2 linked regions of the Drosophila melanogaster genome follow. Changing the gene in region 1 together with any one later gene gives a genetic interaction. Each region holds a gene or a part of one and is shown on either strand. Other genes may lie near its edges.

Region 1 (4,993 bases):
ACGAGAAAAATAAAGTCCATAGCAAGCAAGTTTCGATTCTTGAGATCTTAAATAGTTTTTACCATGTGCACTGAAGCGTTTTTCTTTCCCATTTCTATATTCTATCTACCGAGTAGGTTTTATATTAGCATACTAGGAAATATAATTAAGATGTAGTTATTTTCAGATCAGAATCAGAGAAACGTTTCAAATCAAAATCAACCATATGAACTTGGACAAATATATATTTTGTCTGCGAAATAAACATTTTTTTAGGTGTTCGTAATTACGAAAGCATTTAAATTGGCAACACCTGGGCTGGGGGGAAATTGGCAACGCGACAGCCGAGCGCTGTGCGGGAAAACTGAGCGCGCGGAAAACTGTGTGTATAAACACATCAAATCGCAGCGCAGCGGCAGCAACAACAAACAGGGAAATCTCTTTGAGATACACTACACGCTGCATGGAAAGGGGGGGGGGGCGGTGCGGTGAACTGGGGGATGATGATGCTACAAACAGTTTGTGTACAAAAATAAGTAGAAAAGTCGCTTTTCCTCCCCGCTCGGTAACGTGCGGGGGTGGTTGGCATGGTATCCGGCGTTTCGCGGAAAAACGCGTGAATCGCCGCAAAAGGCAGCAATAAAAACAAAGGCCGCGCACGTGACGCCCAGCGGGGGGTGGTGGGTAGCTTGGAAAAGTGGGTGGCACACCGCCTACTCTTATTATTTACTCACCAACTCCGTATTTGTTGTTCGAAGGTATCCACATTTTGTCGCTGCTGCTTCGCTGCAAGTTAAGCCGAAAAAATCCAACTTAGCCGGCCACTCCTTGCATTTATAATTAATCAACGGTTTTTTGAGGAAACACCCTTTTCATCGGCAAATATCTGCATTTGAATTCGCATTTATAACGGCCAATATTTATCAACAATTTTTCGCAATAGCACACATACACACTCGTACACATCTACGCACTCAATAAAACTTTCGCTTTTGTTGTTGTCTATCTCCTTCTCTTTCTCGCACTTTATCTTGTTTAATAACTACAACTACAAGCAGAAAATACACTTGCTACATTGTTGTTGTCGCTGGAAGGCAACGATCGCGGTTCCAATTGGCAATGATTACCGCTAGGTGGAAGAAAAGGAAGTGGCTGATTGGGAAGTCTGGAAGTGGTGGCTTTGCTTTTGTTGCCTTTTTCACGGACCCGCGCACACACAAACAAGAAAATCAATACGAATTTGGGACTCCCAGCCGAACTTCCAATTGGATTTCTACACTGTGCGCAATTTAAATTGCTTGTCCCTTGGCTTCGCGAATTATTACCGTTGTTTTCTGCTGCACTTGCAACGCGTTTAATTTTCGCTATTTTTTGCGTTTTATTATTTTTCGCGTTCTCCGCTGCGCAGCTTCCCGGGCGCAGCAACAACAAATATCCGTCCGCCGCTCAGCTGTTTGAAGAACAACAACAAAATTCGGGATTCGTCGGCTTATATACGTTGCAGTGTGGCCAGTTGCTAAGCGATGGATTATTTACTATTGCATTTTTGAGGGAATTTTCATTTTAGCGGTGACGGTCACACCGGTATTTATGGTCTAGCTAAGACCCGAACCAATTCGCAGTTACAGTTTTGGAGGCACATTCATTCAATGTATTCAATAATTTAACAAACAAAACAATACCAAATCCGTTTTAATATGCAGTCCATAGCGTTGGTCTGACTCGGCCCCATTAACTCTATCCCATTTTTTTTTAAATTTTTTCTTTTAAATTAACGGTGTACGTATTACTTAACCGAGATATATAATGAATAAAATATAAGCACTAAATCTTTAAGGTTAGAAAATAAATTGCAGTATAAATATATTACGAACGAAGTAAATATTCAAGCGATATATATGATCCCAAGATATCGCTACATTCTCCCATCCCTAGCAGCTATTTCTTGTTGGTTTTTCGAATTCTCGATATAACAGTCACACTGCTCGCCGCGGTTGGTCGCAATTTTTGTTGATAAGCGGACTCGGAATTTCGGCCGCGCTGCGTATTTGTTTTGTCGCGAAACAAGCCAAGAATCCAAATAGTGGCAATATCTGTGGGCAAACAAGTGATAAAGCGGGAAATGTGTCATCTGGTGGGCGAGGAAGCTGCCGAGAAATTGTGTTTTTAGTCAAGGTACGCCAATCGGAGAATCTCTGGGTTCGTGTGTGTGTGGGAGTATAGTCGCTGACTCTTCCAATTGGAATTGTTCTTTTTGGGCCTGACAATAAAACGCAGAATGTTTACTCAATAAATGCGCACCATATACAGCTGGCGAATACAAATGTGTTTAGCTCAACTTGGAGCATGAGATACTCTTTAGTAGTTTCCTGTTCTCCTGCCGATTCCTTTTACAGGAAAAATCAATAAAGGTCCCAATCAGAACGCGACTGCGCCCTAGTGTGGGTGTGCAAAGTGCGTGCATGTGTGTGTCTATGTGTGTGAGTGCTCCTTTATCAGTTGGAAAACGCAGTGTGTTTCGTTTGTTTCGTTGTTGTTGTTTTCGTTTTAGTTTTCCAACAGCTGCAAGTGATTGTGGCACGCCTAATTGATAACTATTTTCGAGCACTTCCATTCAACTTCACCTCAGCATAATTAATCACCGCATTAAGGAAAATACGTTAATATCGGCACGCTCGATTGTCTTACATGCCCACAAACATGGGAGAAAAGGAAAACACAATTCCACACTGCATGCGCTCGTATTTAGTTTCCCTTTTACTTTTCTACAATTTACATAATCATCATCTCGCGGCGGCAAAGACACAAAACAACCGGGCAGCAAAACAAAAGTGGCGTTCATTAAACCAGCTCATAAATGCACACACAGAAATCATAAGTACATACATATGTACATATGTACAGTAGTTAGTATGTAGTTTCATTATTTAATGTTTTTGCGTACATTTCCCTGTGGTTTGATGGCTCGCGGTGTCATCATCTTTACCGCTTTTCCTTCCCCCGCAAATCTTCCATTCTTTTTTCTTTGATAATTCTGCCGCGAATATTTCGTATGCAAAATGTGTGCCAAGCCAAAAAACCGCACAGTGGGTGGGATGGGGCGATGTGGTGGCAAAATTGGTTATTAGCTTAATGGGAATTCACTTATTGGAGAAATATTTTTTATTTTTGCTATTCCCTTCTAATTGTAATTGTAATTGTACCATTTTTAGGGGAGGGTGTGACGAAAACCACCCTTCAGATCATCAATCTGCCAAAAAAAATATTTCCCTCTTTCAAATATTTCAACCTAGTATTCATTTTATCACAACAAATTACACTTTCCAAATTAGGTATTCATATGTCGGTTTAAAATAACTTTTAAGACCTTACCCTCTATAAGGTGATGAAGCTTTATCTTTCAAAATCCAAATCTGATCCACCCATGCTACACAAATGCTTAATTTATATGCATATTACCAAAAATGGAATTGTTCATTCTCATAATTCATTTAATTATGCAAATATTTGGATATACAATTATCAAATAAACACTTTTATTTATTCTTTTACACCTATCAGTTTAAGTAAGTGCTTAGTAAGTCTTACTAAGCAAGTGTTATTCAAGCAATAAGTCACATTTGTTTTTGAAATCTCGTTATCTCTGAAAGAAATAGAAACTGGGTGACTAAAAGTTTGTCAGTCTGATTCACTTTCTATCCGCTAAACTATGGCACTTGTATTTTATTTCAAAGCGTGGGGTTGTTTCTGTTTTCGCTAACTATGCGAACCAATTTAGTTTCCCAATACAGTTGACTCGAAACGCTTGGAGTCGAATTGTGTCCATTGTGCAGGGCTGATTCCCTTGTGCGACTCGCTGGCCGGTTAATGACACGAGGAGTCGTCTCTGGGGGACCGGGTACACGGCTCTTGGCTAGACAAGTGACGCATATTCTCGCATTCTTTGGGGTACTAAAAGTATCTATGTCGTATCTAGATACTTGTGTTTGTCTAATTCGCGGATCGTTGATTCATCGAATCGCTCTACTCTGCTCTGTTCGTCTTTCGAATTCTTGGCCTCGAGAGCACTGATATCGTGACTCTTGCTAAATGTTAATCGGTGGAGCCGAACTGTGTGCCTTATCAAGGCGGTGATAGTGCCGGCTGATCACATATTTTATATATTTGAGGCCTAGGCAAACAATCGATCGGCAATGATGAACGATGGCCACTGTGTCCAGTGCGGCATTCCAATCGAGTGGCTTGGATGGATGGATGCATTTCCGCTGTTACACAAGCGATTTGCATTTCACAGCCACTCAAATTGCGGTTACCACTTTTCGTTCGCCGGCTGTTTTCGCTCTTTACGCTGGTCGCAATTAAAATTTGATTAATTTGCCAATTGGAGCTTGAACAAGTCGACTTGTGCGGAGCCAGAACTGGTACACGACCCGGGTCATTCCCAATCCCAAACTCAATCCACTTGAAGTCTTGAATTGGATTGGGTACACAGTGAAAAAATGCTTGAAAATACAAGGTATCAAATCATTTGTTATATTCCTTTTCATTCGATATCTAAAATTATGCAGTAAATAAATTGTGCCATACTTTAAGACACTTTGTAGATTGATTTAAGAACCCCAAGGATTTATTTGACCCTTGATTAAAGTTGTGTAAATAACTTAATAGTGACCTTACGTTAGTTACGTTATTTTCTCTCTGTGTACATACATATTTATGCACTTCTGTCCGTCCACGCTCAATTTTACGCTACAATAACAGCTGAAAAAAAAGAAGTGCAGCACCAAATTGCATTTGCACATAATTCAACGGTAGCTCAAATGAGAAATATGTCTTGTGCTTATGGAGTGTGTGTAGCAACAACAATGAGAGCCGAGGCAATATAATATATCTGCTGAAAACGCATCTGTATCTTTCTTCATGCACTGGAAATTCCGCAAAGACGACGCCGTGTGCCGCTAACTTTCTAAAAAGATGCAGCGCCAGCTAATCATGATAATGACTTAGCTGCTCA
Region 2 (4,764 bases), on another chromosome or scaffold:
TTTGACCCAATTCAGTTTTAAGTTGCCAAGCTGGATTAAATACTGAATTCAAGATCACTGCCAGTTTCGATTATGCAGAACCGATAAGGCCAGTTCGTGTAGAATTCCGGAAGAATTGCCGATAAGGAATAAGTAGGGCCAAGTTTCAGATAAATCCAAAGCCACTATGGGGAATTTGATTCGTTTTTTGGCATAAATGTGTTTTTAAAAATGTTTCAATTGTTGAACACTTTTTTCTTAACGGATTAAGATCAAGGCTTAAGTTATGTAACGCAAATGTAAATTAATCAATGTTAAAAACCACGTGCCATCGATGACCTTCTTTTTTAGTGCTTACGAAAATTAATTGAGTTTCAAAAAATTTTTGATATGTGTGTTAGTCAATGTTTTAGAGTGATTAATTACCTACTTAGAACACATACGGTTAACGCGACTTTTGCGAATGCTACTTATTGTGACTTTTCGCGAAGATTACATTTTTAGGTAGCAATCAGCAATGCGGCCCTGATAGAAGTGTACGAAATGCGACTCTGAAAGATTTTTTTATCAATAAAAATGTTAAGAGACTTAAGTTTGTACCGATTGTGGACAATCTAAAACATGGTGTAACTCCAATACATTGGTGGATTAGATAGAATATATTGATTTAAAAAAAAAATTTTATGGGAGTGGGCGGGGCACCCACTTTGCCAAAATAATTCTAAATTCATCGTATCTTAAATAGTTTACGAGATATTAATTTATGCCAATAAAACATGTTAAATTCCCCATAGTGCAAGCGCACTACCAGCCTCATTTCACAGCGATAAGCAACTTGTGGTTTCTTTTTATATAATATGAATTCTTTGGTTTTTACATACGGGCAATCTGTGTTAAAAAAAAACAATTCCTTTTATCACTATATACATCCTAATAATGAATTTTATTGTGTGAGTGCCGACGACGGACATAAAAACCCAACATTTTTGGTGGCAAGCAGTTAGTCGTCTTCGGTCGTTCTAGTTTACCAATCCTTCAGGATTTCATATCCCTAAACTATTTTTTTGTTTTTTATTTTTTGTTAAATTTCCCGCGTGTGAAATACGAAGTTGATTGTATGTCAGTTTTTCATTTGGCCTGGCTAGCTTACTCCTTTTTAAATATTGCTAGCTGCCTTGTGAAGGGCTTACGTGTAATTGCAGTTCGACTCCCGAATAATAAATTTTTCGACTGTTTAAAATTTACCATTATTTTGGGGTATCCTAAAAGTTTTGTTACATTAATAACTACATCTGATTAATTCGTGGATCAAATGTTGTATATTCTTTGTAGCGTTCATAATATAAACCTTTAAAAAAAGCTACTAATAAACTGTCTCTTATCAGATACGGAGATGGTGGAGTGCTAGAGAGAAATTTAAAAACTCTTCTAAAAAATAACAAACTAAATAAATATGAAACTATTATAAATATGTGAGTGTAATAGAGGACGTGGCAAGCCCAGGGAACAAATTTTCCCTGCATAGAAAGACTAAAATCTTTTTGGCACCAGAAAACTTAAATTTCTTATATCAAAAATTATTATTATATTATTATATTTATGGATTATTATATGCTTACTCAAAAATATACAATCAATTTTTCAACTAATATAAGTCCGCTAGGGGGACTTGAATTTAAACTTAAATAGCACAATTAGTGGGACCGCCAATCCTCGTTTCTCCTATGCATTTTAGAGTGACCGCTTTCCTTCGACTGCGATATGTATTGCGTGTACATTATCGACGTCTGAAAAAATCACGCGTGCTGTATATCGATATTTGTCATGTACTAAATACCATTCCTCGGCTAAATTAAATCGCAAAATTGCGTCGAAACTTGGGGAAAAGTGCTGGGACAGGCAGCTGAAAACTAAGCTAACGGAAAAGCATCGTGAGGGAAAACAGCGAAACTTTGCGAGCGGGAAATTTTGGAGCTACAACCTAGAAACGGCAGTGCGCAAATGTAAAATGCACGGAATATTCGCATGTGCAGTGTGATAATAAATAAACGCCAAAGAAAATTTTCGGCGCAGGGGCAAACACACCAATGCACAATAGCGGCGGCGCGTTCGTGTGCGTGCGCCTTTTTTTTCTTTGTGAGTGTGTATGTGTGTTATCATAAAGGAGCTGGAAAAACAACAAAAATACACAGGTGCGTATGTGGGTGTAAACTAGTGGTAGGGGTCAACAAATTTTCCGATTTTCCACTGTGACAGTCTATAATTTATATGTGTATATAGAGATTTGTAGTGGCATAAGTGAATGCCCAAAAGTTTCGGAGTTTCTGAGCTAACGGTTCTTGCTGGCTTGTGTGTGTGTATTAGGTTATCATATATGTGTGCTGGTGTATTTAGCTTGTGTTACCGTTACATCGGCGCCGTAAATGAAAATCCAACTGCGAGTGTCCGTAACTTAACCATGCGCCTCAGCTAAAAGTTAAAACAAAGACAGGAAACTCCGATAGGAAGGATGATGTGTAAAGTAGGGTTGTAGAATAGAAACGCCAAACAGGTATCACTTCCAATTGTGTGCACGACAGCACACGCATTTCCCATTTGCATTGGAAGGTATGCGTGTTTTTGATGCATCTGTGTCTGTGTGATTCTGACGTTTTTGGGGTTGCGAAAAACACCCAAACCACCCCCTAGAGACGAAAAATTTGTAGATACACACATGGATAAACAGAGCGGGATGGCTAGCTCACAGCAACCTTCATTGGGTTTTTCCAGTTCCAATAGTGAAGGACGCCACTGTTATAGGTTGTATTGGGGTGGGCTATAAAAGTACAGTTCCAATTGGAACAGGGCAACGGCCAGCCTACAATTACAGATTATATTTGTTACATCTTTTAAATCTAAGGAATAAGAGTATTTTATTTATTTTATGGCCGATTTAAACACATGCCTAACAAAAATAGTTTCTACTCGAGATGAGTTTAAGATAGTCAAGAACATTTAATAGCTCAAACAAATATAAAAATTTAGACATAACAAGAAGATTACATTTTTGCTGGTATTTTCCTGTTTCCCCGACTATAAACTCCTACGAACTCTTACTGTTGGTTGTATATGTACATACATATGTATATTTCTGTCACTGCATTGCTATGAACAGTGGTGGTCTTTGCGCCGACTCCACTGCCGCGACAACCTTCGCATGCGTAACTTGCCTCTCGTTTGTATTTTCGCTGTTATCATTTCATTTTTGTAGAGCTGTGCTGTCCAGCACAGAAAAAAGAGTATGGTGGGAAATTAAGAGAGGGAGAGAGAGAAACAGCAGTACCAAGAAAATTCGATTGTGGGAAAGGGAAAGTAAAAAAACACGGTGGGGTCAATTCTTTGCAGAACATAACAAATTGTCTTATCATAATTTGGTAATTATTGCGGCTGTTAGTCTTGCATGCTTAAAATTATAAAAAAGTGTCTTAAGGTATTTTTAATTTTCCTATATATGTATAGATAGAATAAACGATACTTCGATGTAAACGGCAGTAACTTTTTGGAGTTTACGGAAGCTGGGGTTAAAGAATTTAAATATTCAAAAATAATGAAATATTCACGAATACTAAAAATTGCCTTAAGAATACATATAAAACGCGAAAGCACACATACGCTTACATTAAATAGTAAATTGAGAAAACACCGAATAAGAAGAATTTATGATCGGATACAACAAGAGTATAATTTCTTTTCTAATATTTTGATCAAATTGAAACCGAAATTATGATGTCAAAAACGGCTTTTACGAGTATACGCTTTGTGCGAAATATAAAAACAAACTAGGATTCTTTTTCCTCAATTTCCCTGTGACTTTTCGACTTCTCGATGCAATTACAACCGAAATATATTGAAGTGTATATATGTATATATATATATATATACTTATGTATATATATGTACAGATGTTAAAACAACGATGCTACACTTTTTTAAATTATTTTTTTTTTTATTATTCCGTACCGAATAATATACCATGTGCAAGACAAAGAATACTCTTGGAAAAGGTGCAAGCATATAACATTAAAACTAAGAGAATAATTTTCGTAGACACGTATAGACGGACGTGGCTTTGTCGCCTGTGGTGTTGACACTGATCAAGAATAGTATACATCGCAAATGCCTTCTTTACAGTGTTGCTAACTTCCGACACAAAGTTTAGTTGCGCTTACTGCAACCTGTGGGCATCACTGTGTAGGCCTTAAATCTTAAAGGACTCTAAAATGGCCTACTTCTATAATTAGAAAGAAAACCTGAAGACTACATCCAACAAACGCAGAGCTTTTTAATTTGGCAATACTTTAGGTTCCTTCACACAATTTCATCACCCACCTTTTTCAGAATCCGGATAAGAATGTATATATGTATGTGTCTTAGGGGGTGAACATATACTCTCTCTACTCTTTTCCCCTTTCTCTCATCATCAGATGCCTATTTTGATTACAATCAAGGTTTAGAAGTGTGCTCACTTTTGCTGGGCCACTTTTCTCGATATATGTGTGGCACGCGCAAGTGGGTCGTGCTCACATCCCCTATAAGGACGTGGGAGTTGGTGGTGTTCCCACTGCATTGTTTCGCGGGGGTGATTGGGTAGTTCGAGTAGTGCATGCGTGGTAGTTTAAAAAAGATCCAAGGAAAATAAATAAAAACACTGCATAAGATAGTTTCATCGTGAGGTGCACCTCGAGCTGGGCGAGTTTGCGTGTGTATTCAGTGCGGTGAAAGGTGTGGGATTTAAGGGGTTGGTTT

The links.
Region 2: of Apc (region 1) and ewg, changing one suppresses a phenotype caused by changing the other (phenotypic suppression), as found in Drosophila melanogaster (2 studies listed by BioGRID).

The regions. Positions count from the first base shown.
Region 1 is NT_033777.3:28,841,721-28,846,713, reverse strand, and holds the start of Apc (APC-like), read left to right. Parts: upstream 1-1,965; 5' UTR 1,966-2,154; intron 2,155-4,430; exon of another isoform or gene 4,431-4,495; intron 4,496-4,993. Other genes in the region: spg (sponge), read right to left, coding at 714-747.
Region 2 is NC_004354.4:276,592-281,355, reverse strand, and holds the start of ewg (erect wing), read left to right. Parts: upstream 1-1,721; 5' UTR 1,722-2,171; intron 2,172-4,764. UniProt on the Drosophila melanogaster protein: May function as a positive regulator of transcription in developing and differentiated neurons, regulating common aspects of neuronal differentiation and maintenance. Requirement in the CNS may be higher than in the peripheral system.